Arabidopsis thaliana: one gene and its partners. The protein of the gene in region 3 interacts with the protein of the main gene of each other region in a pairwise test. Each region holds a gene or a part of one and is shown on either strand. Other genes may lie near its edges.

Region 1 (3,858 bases), on a different chromosome or scaffold from region 3:
GTCTACAATTAAGCGAAATCACACATTGACACAAATTAAAAAATATTTCTTTTCTCGACCGAAAAAAGAAAATTATTTCACCAATATGGAAAATCTCCCCAAGTTCATTCTATTTTCTGTATCAAAGTTAACGAATAGACATATAAGCATTTTGTCACGTCGGTGGAGTATGAGTTTGGCACGTTTTGTTTCGTGCTCGTCCAACCATATGAAAACGTGGGAGGTAAACCACTCAACTAATAATATTATACCTTTAAAAAAACTATATTATAAATCCAGTTTGATGCTTATTTTATTAATCATTCTTCAAAGAAATAAAACTTAAATAGTGAAAATTATAACCGAAGTTGACTAGTTAGGAGGCATGCCATGGAATATTGGATACATACTCGGCATGGACAGTATTGAATATACAGGATAATGTAGATAACTATATTTTCTATAATTTATTTTGTGTCAACTATTTTTTCTATGATTCTGATGATTAATTGCATGACAATCAATCAAATTAATTATGCCTTCTTCTATATAACCATGCAAAACCAAAAAAAAAAAGATTATTTCGAAACGACATGAGAATCAAAAGAACTCATAAATCCTAATAGACATGAAATTATGTATACAGTTATAACATTGAAATATCTTAATACCTTACCTAAAAGATAACTAGATTAATAACCATAAAACCAATAATCATTAAGTCAATAACCCCATAATCTTATAAATGAAGTCAGTGACTATATGTTCATGTAAAAATGCGTAAGTTCATAGCTAGATGTCCCTTTTTTAGGAGCACATGGATTGACACATTAAACATTCATACCCGATTTCATGGAATTCTATTTGTCATTATCCTTTCCCAAAAACTTAGTTGTTTCTTAGTTATTAAACCTTGAAAAAAAATCAATTCAAAAATGAAAAATGACTTATATGTATGTCATTTTTGAAAACTAGACATCAAGCTATGAAAAGAGGAATCTATTTACCGAATAAAGGAGGAGGAATCTACATTCATATGTAGTGTTTTTGGTGACTGGATTGCAACCATACACTGAGCACAAGCTGTCACGTGTGATGTTGTGCTCGTAGCATAAACTATAAAGTATAAACCTAATTAAGCTTAAAGTTAAAAATAGTACAAGATTAAAAAGTAAACGTTTGTGAGAGTTGACTAACAGAACTATAGAAGACGCATGGGGTTGACTTCAAGCGGTCTGCAAACGGCATGAACAATGCATTCAAACGATAATATAAACCTTAATTCCAATATAGCCTTTTTCAAATTTAAAAACTCGAATGTTTACGAAACTATAACTTGATAAAACTGATTGAAATAAAATGTACTTACATTTTTTTAATAAAATATACTTAAATTTTTTAAATAAAATATACTTTAAAATATACTTAATTTTTTAAAATCATACTATGGATTTTAAACAAAATAAATTGTCACTGAGTCATATTTCTTTGGATAAAAGAACTTTACATAAGTGATTGGTACAATATAATAATATGCAAATTTAAGACATTTTATTAAGTTTATATTATCGTTTAAATGCATTTTCTATCAACTTAATAAAATCTAGCTAGGTACTTTCATAATTCTATCATTATTCCTTTTGAACGATTAATTACTTTATTTTCTCGTTTCACACTGGAAGCAAACGAGTAATCAAATAAAATTTCGTCATCATCGACAATAAATGGCATGAAAACAACCAGCACACATTACTATATAAACCGATTCATCTAGTAAGTCCAAAGTCACACAAACATTAAACAATCTAAACACACAACAATCCAAAAGAAAAAAGAAAAAAAAAAAAAATGGCTTCAAATTCAGCACTTCTCATGAAAACAATCTTCCTCGTACTCATTTTTGTCTCTTTTGCAATCTCTCCAGCAACTTCAACTGCGCCGGAAGAATGTGGAAGCGAGTCAGCGAACCCGTGCGTCAACAAAGCTAAAGCTTTGCCTCTCAAAGTCATAGCAATCTTCGTAATCCTCATTGCAAGCATGATTGGTGTTGGAGCTCCTCTCTTTAGCCGTAACGTTTCGTTCCTCCAACCAGACGGAAACATCTTCACTATCATTAAGTGTTTCGCCTCCGGGATCATCCTTGGAACCGGTTTTATGCACGTTTTACCTGATTCTTTCGAAATGTTGTCATCTATATGTCTTGAAGAGAACCCGTGGCATAAATTTCCTTTCTCCGGATTTCTCGCTATGTTATCGGGTCTAATCACTCTAGCCATTGACTCCATGGCCACGAGCCTATACACCAGCAAGAACGCAGTTGGTATCATGCCCCATGGTCATGGTCATGGTCACGGCCCCGCAAATGATGTTACCTTACCAATAAAAGAAGATGATTCGTCAAATGCACAGCTCTTGCGATACCGAGTCATTGCCATGGTTCGTACGCACATATATACATACCGAATATCATTGTATTTTAAATGACATATTACCGAATACATAGGTATATCTAACTTTCTACGGATATATAGGTCTTGGAACTTGGGATCATAGTTCACTCGGTGGTCATTGGATTATCTCTAGGAGCAACTAGTGACACTTGCACCATTAAAGGACTTATAGCAGCTCTTTGCTTCCATCAAATGTTCGAAGGCATGGGTCTTGGCGGTTGTATCCTCCAGGTAAATATACTTTAGATAAAAGAAAAAAAATTATCTTTAGCCAAATGTTGAAATTGTATATACAAATATGAAACATCTAATGTTTAAGATAATTTCAGGCTGAGTATACAAATATGAAGAAATTTGTTATGGCGTTCTTTTTCGCGGTAACAACACCATTCGGAATAGCGTTAGGGATCGCTCTATCAACTGTTTACCAAGATAATAGCCCAAAAGCTTTGATCACGGTTGGACTTCTAAATGCATGCTCCGCTGGATTGCTCATTTACATGGCACTCGTGGATCTTCTAGCTGCGGAGTTCATGGGACCTAAGCTTCAAGGTAGCATCAAAATGCAGTTCAAGTGTTTAATCGCGGCTCTTCTCGGGTGCGGTGGAATGTCGATTATCGCCAAATGGGCTTAACTAATACTCCAGATATTGCGGAATTGAAATCATGTGGATTTCATTATCGAACTAAAACCGTTTTAGGTTTACGTCTCGATTCTCTATCGGTTTTTTATCTTCTCTTACAAAAGATTTGCGTGGATCTATCACATTTTAAGGAACATGTCTTTTGGTAGATATGTAAATGTGATAGGCCCCACGATTCATAGTTTTCTTTTGTATCTTCCTTTATTTTGTCAAGGCAGTATAGTTCATATCGTGTAATGTTTTTGCATCTCATATAAATAAATAAAACTTTTGCTGCTTTTTCAAGATAAGTAAATTAAAGAAAAATATATATTATTTTACTTTGTAATCTATATTCGACAAATCTAAATACCAATAATTGGAACTTTAATCACAATCACGTAGTCTATAAATATACTTACTAGCTTGGCAATATTGTCAATCACTTGCATATCGTCCCATACTGCTTTAAATCTCAAATTTATTTTTGAGTATTACTAGGCATTGATATCCTTGTAGTTGATTTAAGTATATAATTTAAACAAGTTCTCTAACCGGGTTCTGTTGATAAAATCAATATGTCTACCAATTGAACCAATACCAATAAATTTTAGTCTTCGCTTGAAACTAAAGTCAAAGTTCGAACAAACAAAATCAGATACATAGTCGAAGTTTATAAACTTTATATGCAGATTCAGTCGATTTCCAAAAGCGCTGGTTTTACTTGGAAAATGTATATCTATCGACCCATTTATGAAGGCTCACTTGATTTGGGTACGGGCATTACTTTCAGCCCAATTATGTGT
Region 2 (4,803 bases), about 17 Mb from region 3:
GCAACTTATCCTGCAAGATATTTTCGAATATTTTTGAAAATATTAGATCCAACAACCCTAGCCTCCTTCATCACTATAAATATCAAAGTCATTCTCATCACAAACCAAATTGAGATCAAGAACGATTCGATGGTTATTATCATAATCAATTCATGATAGTGAATGATTGTTTGCATAAGTATTCATGACGAAGTGGATGTTCTTCGTTGATGTTGATGAGTTTTTACATGTTCCGGTGAAAGAGACGATTTCGTCTGTGATGGAATCTTTGGAGGAATATTTTCAGTTTACTATTGAACTGATGCCTATGAGTAGTCAGGTTTGTTATTCCGGTGATGGCCCGGCCAGAACTTACAGGTAACATTCATAACTTTGTTGATTTTAATGATTGAACGTTAACCAAAGCCCATGTGTTGTTTATTGAGTGACTTAGAATATTAGTCACAAGTTTTTTGAAGGTGACATATAATATCAATAAGCATCTGATTCTGTCAACACTTGGCCTGTAAAAGTCTTTGTGCATTCTGTATTAGTCTCCTATGTCGGTCACGATCTTTGCTTTTATTGAACATCACATGATATTAGTGAGAAATGTTGTAAAGATTATTTCTTTTGTTTGTACCAAATATTGAATTGTAATTGGTTTGTATATTTTCTGTTTTTAGGAGGGAACATATCGGTTATTGATTTGGTTTAGTTCAGGGACTAATCTAAATGGTATTTTGGTTTTGTGTTTCAGAAAATGGGGAATTGAGAAACTGGCATATAGAGACGTCAAGAAGGTTCCAAGACGGGATCGGAAATACGCGGTCCAGCCGGAGAATGTATTCGCGATAGGCGTACACATGTCTCAGAATCTACAAGGGAAGACATAGCACAAGGCTGAGAGCAAAATCCGTTACTTCCATTACCATGGTTCGATCTCTCAGCGCCGCGAGCACGCACTCCTTATGTGCTAGACACTACAATCCGTGATGTTGGCCTTGCTGTGAGAACGTTCGAGTTGAGAACGATTGGTGATCGGCTGCTACGGACAAGACAATGAAGAGATGAAAAACATGAATAGTGAATCTAATCAATCTTTAGAAAGAAGAATTAGGTGTTAAGATGATTTACTTTGCATTGTTTTCTTTTGGGGGTATATTCTTTTATTGTATCATATAATTTGGGTAATGGGATCATTAATACAGCTTCAAAATACTCTTTAGTATAAATATTCTGTATGATTTAGAAAAAAGGTCTCCTCATAAATGTTATTATCTTTGTTTTGCCAAAAATAAAAGATAAAACATACCAACTTTGGTTTTTAAAGATCTTATAATCAACAAAATAATTACACCATCTATCATTATATTATATTTTTGTCACCATTTTACTTATATCAAATACACATTTAGTAATTGATACACAACTTTAAACACAATAAAATACATGATTCTAATCAGTAAATAGTCTCCATACTAATAAAAGATTCCAATCATTATTTATACCAGTTTTAAAAAAACTAAATATATGTTACTATTTTTTAATATAACACACACTAATTTATTTAATAAAAAATTTATAAAAGCCTTCGCGCGACGGGAAACCGCGGGTTTAATCCTAGTTGTATAAATAATTTACAATTAACCCAATGACCGGTTTATGGTAGTAAACAAAAAGAATGACTATAAGATCCGGATTATGATCCAAGTCTCATCGAGCTGACCCGGTAAAGAGACTAATCTCTTTCGATAACCGATTCATTTAAAATTCCCTTTTGCTTACTTTTCTCTCTCCTTTCATCGAGAAATTTCGCGGCTACTTCTCTTCTGAAACGCACCGGGACGCGCCGTCGCACAAGTTACAGAGGAGTGTTGGAAAGGATAAAGACTTGGTTTTCTGGGGTGCCGTAGATATGGTTACAGGCGTGGCTTCCGCCATGGCGGAGCGGTTAAAGGAAGACGGAAACAATTGCTTTAAGAAAGAACGTTTTGGTGCTGCCATTGATGCTTATACCGAGGTACATGGTTCTCACTCTCCTTCTCTCAATTTCATCGTTAGGGTTTTGTGTTTTCCGAGATTTTGATTGAGATCTGCGTAGAGTAATAAACCCTTGATTATAATTTCGAAATTGGACAATTCGTTTGTGAATCAGAACTTAATTGCATCCAAATTAGGTTTTGATGGAGTGTACAATTCGAGAATAGACATTTGATGGAATTTATGAATCTTTTATGTGCTCATCGTTATAAGTCATCAAGAAACTTCAGGCTTATTCAATTGTAGTGGTTTTTCTTATCATTTTTTTTTTGTGTAATTGAGTAGGCAATAGCTTTGTCTCCAAATGTTCCTGCTTATTGGACCAATCGAGCACTTTGCCACATGAAGCGAAAGTGAGTATTGTTCTGTCAAGCAAATTTTATACATACTTCTGATTAGGCAATCCTAATGCCCAAATACTTTATGGTTCATGTTTGGCTTCTTTGCTTGCATCAAATTTAGGGATTGGACTAAGGTTGAAGAGGATTGTCGCAAAGCTATTCAGCTTGTCCACAATTCCGTCAAGGTTTGACTCTTTTGATTATATCTAAATGGAATTCTTTTGCTTGGTGTGCTATGTATGGAATATGTCAAGTTTTTTGTTTTGTTTTATCTTTTCTTGGCCTTCTTTGATCCTTTCTTCTCCATCATATGAGGATTTTACAATTATGTTCTGTGGCAGGCACACTACATGCTAGGACTTGCATTATTGCAGAAGAAAGAATTTACTAATGGAGTCAAAGAATTGCAAAGGGTAAGGATCTTTGTTAGTCCTAAGCTTTTTTCTGTAAAATTTATCAGTGGACATGATTGTTTAAGTCGTAACGTTGAGACCTAAGTAGTGTAGTTTCCAAGCATCTTAATGAAGATGTGAGGCACCACTTGAATCTCCATCTTTTTCCTTTTGAAAGATGTCTAAGTGGATACTGTGGACACTTGTTTTAGTTAGAAAAATCACTAGAGATGGGTTGGTTTGTTTATGCCATCAAATACTGCAAACAAATTTTGGTTTGATACCTGTTTCCTGTTAACTTCATGTAGCTACGTTTCATATAGGCTTTAGATCTTGGAAGATGCTCGAATCCAACAGGATATATGGTAGAAGAAATATGGGAAGAGCTTTCTAAAGCAAAATACATGGAGTGGGAACTGGTTTCTGCAATGCGGTCATGGGAACTGAATAGTTTGAAGTAGGTTCTGTAACTTTCTTAATCCAGTGCTATCATTCGACTTGGAACTGTGCTTTTGTGGCTTTATGGAACTATTCATGTTTGTGTTAGGGAAACTTGTGAGGCTGCTCTTAATCAACAACGTGCTTTAGATATGTCTCGAACAGAAGAGTCCTCAGACGAAGCATATACTGCCCATACTGAGCGTTTGAAAGCTCTTGAACGAGTGTTTAAGAAAGCTGCAGAAGAAGATAAACCAACTGAGGTGCATTAAATTTTCTTTAAAAGCTTTTAAGACCCATCGTTCATTTATATTTGAGGTCAAATACATTTCTGGTTTTTCTTTTCAGGTGCCAGATTATTTATGTTGCAATATAACTCTTGAGATTTTCCGAGATCCTGTAATTTCTCCAAGTGGGGTTACATATGAAAGAGCAGCAATCCTTGAACATCTCAAGAAGGTTTGCATTATCATCGCTCTTTTCTTGTAGCCTTAATCTCTATAAAAAATATTCCTCATTCCTGTTAAGGTTTGATCGTTTACACCACTTGATAGGTGGGGAAGTTTGATCCTATAACTCGTGAAAAAATCGACCCGGCTAATCTCGTTCCAAATCTGGCTATCAAAGAGGCAGTGGCAGCATATCTAGAAAAACACGTCTGGGCTTACAAGATGGGTTGTTGATCGAAATGGGGATTAACATAAACACAATGAAGCGGATGAGAAATTGAGGTTAACTACTCAGGTGACCGAACAAAACAGATGGGTGCGTTTACCTTTTTTCACATTTGTGTTTGTTGTTGCCGATGTTTTCAGTGTAAGATTCTCTGCCCTGTGTATATATTACAATGTTTTTTTGTGCACTCTGTACACATTGGCCATATGGCTTAGCCTATATAACACACATACAGAATTTATTTACTATTGAGGAAAGCCCAATAACATACATACAGATATTGTTTATCATTGAGAAAAGCCCAATAACAGACAGATTTAGATGCAGTTCTCTGACGTCAACAAGATTGATGAATTGTATCTCATTAGGATGTAGTCCAAGGCATGCTTAAGTATTTTTTGAAACCTTCTTGGACCACTCCGGTTCTGTGCCATGAAAAAAATCTGGATTGTGTGATTAATCATCTAAAATAAAACTGAAAGCCTGAAAATTCAATATAAAAACAAAAAGTTGTCATGCAATAGTGTAGAAAAACAATGATTTAGTTGAATGTTCATCAAAGTTGAAAGAAAGCAAAAGACATGGGCCATCATAAGGTATTCAAAGTATTGAATGAATTCTGCCTAATAAGGCGTAAATCTTGGGGTCTTTTAAATAGAAATAAAACTACTATTTTCTTTATCTATATGATTTCCACTGGGGACACATAAAAGGTAAACCCACCATTGTGGTTGTGGATTATTACGATTCTTTTTCTTCCTTTATGGGATTTATTTCTTTTTTTGTATCCAATGAATTGTAAACGTTACTTCTTGGGGATAAAAAGTTAAAAAGAAAGCATCAAATTCTTTCTTTTCTTGGCTTTTCTGTGAAAGTTTGGTGAGGAATAACACCAAAGAGTGGTTTAGGACGAATCCATATTCTATCCTCTCTAT
Region 3 (3,699 bases):
CTCAAAAAAGACACCGGGACTGACGCCAAGGAGAGGATGTACAAACCATCGTTTGCTGGTTTTGTGGATGTCGGTCTCCTTGACGGAAAGATCTCTCTAAGGAGTTTGGTACGTCACAAACTTAAATCATTTTACTGAATATTACTCTTGTATAGAGAAGCAAATAGGTAACATAATTGAGTGAATTTGCAGATTGATCACTCGGTTGTGGAGAGCTTTGGAGCAAAAGGAAAGACAGTGATAACATCTAGAGTGTATCCGACAAAAGCAGTAGGAGAAAAAGCTCATTTGTTTGTCTTTAACAACGGCTCACAACCTGTGACCGTAGAGAGCCTCAATGCATGGAACATGCAGAAGCCTCTGAAGATGAACCAAGGTGCAAAGTGATCACATCATTCTTTAATTTTTTCGTTGACAAATTTAATTCATTCGTTAAAACAGAGAGTCTGTCACAATATATTGTAGAAAAAAGGAACCTATTGTGTTTCTTTTACAATCAATACAATTTGTACATAGTTTATCACTACTAACAATGTATTGATCTTATATTTTATTAATGAAACACGTCTCCTAATCACATAAACGGTCATTATTTCACGATACTTGTATAGATTGGAATTAAGCAAGAATCTTCCGTAATCGATTCAGAATAATAGAAAACCAAATCCTTTTACTGACATTATCTTTTAACATAGAAAGTCACTGAAACAAGAAAAACAAACCCTATCAAAGGGAAGACAACAAAAAAAAGCAAGCAAGAGATGGGATTCTTGATAAGAGTCTCTCTACTTGATCTTCTTCTTAGGCCTCAACTGCAAATAAAAAAAGTTTGTTCAGATATCATTTCAGCTGATAAACACCAAAAAGAAACAAGTAACAAAAACAAACCTGGTTGCTGTGACCACACTTCTTCTTCCTGCAGTTGACAGCTCTTGGGTGAAGACGAGCATAGCACCTACCAAAAGATGCGAAATTTACATTAGAATAATCTCATTGAGACATCAGATCGGACCATAGATGACAAACTATCCAACAAACAAGATGTTTCAGCAATCAAAAATACAAGCTTCAACACATTTTCAAAACCATTTGCAAAAATGTACCATTCAAGAAAATCATCTGGAAAGATGAGAAATTTGACCAGCTGACAAAGTTTAGAGAATGGAAATGTTTGATATTGGGAACATTTATAACCTCAACACGCATTGTATAAGGCTTGAGAAGCTAAGTTAATTCCCATTAAAACAACTAAAACCCTAACACACTAATAAACATTTGGTACTTTGAACTATTAATCAACAAAACTACAATCTTAGGGAGAAATTGAAACTTACTTGCGGCAAATCATCTTATCCTGATTGTACTTACGAGCAAGCATCATCAAGGAAGGCTCAATAATACCTCCTCTAAGCCTCAACACAAGATGAAGTGTAGATTCTGTTTACAAATGATAACAATCCATTAGAGTTTATACAATCAGATCATCGAAATGATCAACAGAAGGATTCGGATGATTTCGTACCTTTCTGGATGTTGTAGTCAGCCAAAGTACGGCCATCTTCGAGCTGCTTTCCGGCGAAGATCAATCTCTGCTGATCCGGAGGGATTCCTTAAAGGAGAAACAAGTAAATGATAAGAGATCTGAATTTCAAAAAGCTAAAGAGAAGAATCCAGATTGAGTGAGGAAGAATGATACCTTCTTTGTCTTGGATCTTGGCCTTGACATTGTCGATGGTGTCGCTGCTCTCGACCTCGAGAGTGATGGTCTTGCCGGTCAAGGTTTTCACGAAGATCTGCATCTTTTGTGTTTCGTCTTCTCTCACGTAGAAACCCTAAACAAGGAGGAGGCGGGTTTATATATGTCAATGTACGCGTCTAGGGTTTTGCTAATATTGGGCTAGGTTACAGGCCTTTACCACAAAAGGCCCAGCCCACTTTCCAAATTTGCATTTCTACCTTATGCCTTGAGATTTGAGTGGGCTTTTAAGATAACATTTTAGATATCTCTCTCATTAAAAGACCACTTCTCGTTAGTCGAAGGTTTCATATGCACAAAACCTATGAGATTGTTGGATCTTGGTCAGGGTCTGATACATAGAGTAGCTATAACAAATCGTTTCTATCATTCCCAAGGTCCAAAGACACTACATGATTCTAAGATTTATTTGTCAAAAATTTCACCTTCTTGCTGATGATGAGGCGATTGACAAGAGCTAACCAAAAAACAGATCCAAACTTAGCTAAGTCTAAGATGGATATTATTAGATCCGGATAAACCGGAAGAAGGTCCGACAAAACGGAAAAGGAGATCCGATCTAAATCGGAAAACGAAATATGTTACAAAACAAAAAAAACAAAGATACATTCCGGTCAACCGGAAATCGAACTTTTTCTCTCTAAAAGATAAAGGTGAGATAAGAGAGAGAAAGTTTGTTTTCTAAAATTCTGTAGTCTATGTTCAATTTGTGAAATATCCCGGGATATTACAAAATTACAACCAAATAAAAATATTTTATCAACTCCAATCAAAGATTTGGCACCTAAGACTTTACAAAATCATACAGCACAAATTCAAGGTTTTTTTGTGAGATAAAATGACTACCAATTTTTGAATATCTTATGGTCATACAGAAAAAGATCCAAAGCTGTTCAGAGTTGAGACTATAACAAAGCATAGTAATTCCAAAACTCTTTTCAAACTAAGAAAAAACAAAATGAAACATTGAGAAAGCTACATAAGGAGATCCAACGAGAGGCCAAATAACTCAGAGCCTCCTTCCTCTTCTTCCACCCTTTCTGCGGGTACTGTCGGTTGGGATTGGAGTCACATCCTCTGAGGAAAACAAGAACAATGTCAGAGATTTATTCAATCAAAGATGCAATTAAACAATTACAGTTGAAGATTGCTGCTGTTTTACCAATGCGACCAATTTTCATGCCAGAACGGGCAAGGGCTCTTAGAGCAGACTGAGCACCAGGTCCAGGGGTCTTGGTCTTGTTACCACCAGTGGCACGGAGTTTCACATGTATGGCAGTGATTCCAAGTTCCTGTGTTGCATAAATATATTCACCAAATCGATTAAATATAGAAACATAAAAGATTATCAAGTTGTCTGCTTGGTAATGCAATTTCTTTGCCTTTACCTTGCATCGCTGAGCAACATCTTGTGCCGCAAGCATAGCAGCATAAGGTGAGGACTCATCTCTGTCGGCTTTCACCTTCATTCCACCTACAGAAGTAGGAAATCGAAACAGCAATTTTAGCAACCCATTGTTATTTAAGAACAATGCAATTTCCAAACAGATAAACAAAAGGAATTCCTCAAAAGTTAAACGAACAAAGACTAAAGACACTTCAGCTCACACCCTATAGAGAAGACCATAATACTAATAACAATGGTAACTAACTTAGTTCTATAAGCAGGAACATTGATGCCGTCAAGAACAAAGCAATTTCTATAAAGATATCAACGGATTCCTCGAAAAAACTTAAAAGAGCAGATACTAAGCAGAACCTTTAGGCAGTCAAGAACTTCATTTCACACTCAACAGAGACTACCGCATACAAGTTAACAAAGGGATCATCACCAAAGGATTAGAGAGTGAGAGTTGAAAGAGATGATTACCAGTGATGCGAACAAGTGTTTCCCGTCCAGACAAATCAGTCACGTGCTGCAATTGCAGATATAAGAAGTTCAG

What was found.
Region 1: the proteins of UBQ1 (region 3) and IRT1 interact in binary tests that used the Arabidopsis thaliana proteins (3 or more experiments, as listed by UniProt).
Region 2: the proteins of UBQ1 (region 3) and CHIP interact in a two-hybrid assay, tested with the Arabidopsis thaliana proteins (one study listed by BioGRID).

What each region holds. Positions count from the first base shown.
Region 1 is NC_003075.7:10,705,660-10,709,517, forward strand, and holds IRT1 (iron-regulated transporter 1), read left to right. Parts: upstream 1-1,684; 5' UTR 1,685-1,827; coding exon 1,828-2,415; coding exon of another isoform or gene 2,416-2,463; exon of another isoform or gene 2,464-2,500; intron 2,501-2,510; coding exon 2,511-2,660; intron 2,661-2,758; coding exon 2,759-3,064; 3' UTR 3,065-3,356; downstream 3,357-3,858. UniProt on the Arabidopsis thaliana protein: High-affinity iron transporter that plays a key role in the uptake of iron from the rhizosphere across the plasma membrane in the root epidermal layer. Acts as the principal regulator of iron homeostasis in planta.
Region 2 is NC_003074.8:2,357,396-2,362,198, reverse strand, and holds CHIP (carboxyl terminus of HSC70-interacting protein), read left to right. Parts: upstream 1-1,649; 5' UTR 1,650-1,897; coding exon 1,898-2,002; intron 2,003-2,307; coding exon 2,308-2,375; intron 2,376-2,484; coding exon 2,485-2,548; intron 2,549-2,704; coding exon 2,705-2,776; intron 2,777-3,078; coding exon 3,079-3,212; intron 3,213-3,302; coding exon 3,303-3,456; intron 3,457-3,541; coding exon 3,542-3,652; intron 3,653-3,747; coding exon 3,748-3,876; 3' UTR 3,877-4,292; downstream 4,293-4,803. Other genes in the region: AT3G07380 (glycosyltransferase family protein (DUF23)), read left to right, coding at 185-357, 740-875. UniProt on the Arabidopsis thaliana protein: Has E3 ubiquitin-protein ligase activity and may target misfolded substrates towards proteasomal degradation. Regulates the activity of some serine/threonine-protein phosphatases by E3 ubiquitin-protein ligase activity.
Region 3 is NC_003074.8:19,503,768-19,507,466, reverse strand, and holds UBQ1 (ubiquitin extension protein 1), read right to left. Parts: upstream 2,089-3,699; 5' UTR 1,800-2,088; coding exon 1,697-1,799; intron 1,610-1,696; coding exon 1,523-1,609; intron 1,438-1,522; coding exon 1,335-1,437; intron 1,138-1,334; exon of another isoform or gene 1,096-1,137; intron 956-1,095; coding exon 889-955; intron 813-888; coding exon 786-812; 3' UTR 535-785; downstream 1-534. Other genes in the region: CWINV2 (cell wall invertase 2), read left to right, coding at 1-108, 193-387; AT3G52580 (Ribosomal protein S11 family protein), read right to left, coding at 2,766-2,833, 2,919-3,048, 3,145-3,230, 3,627-3,672.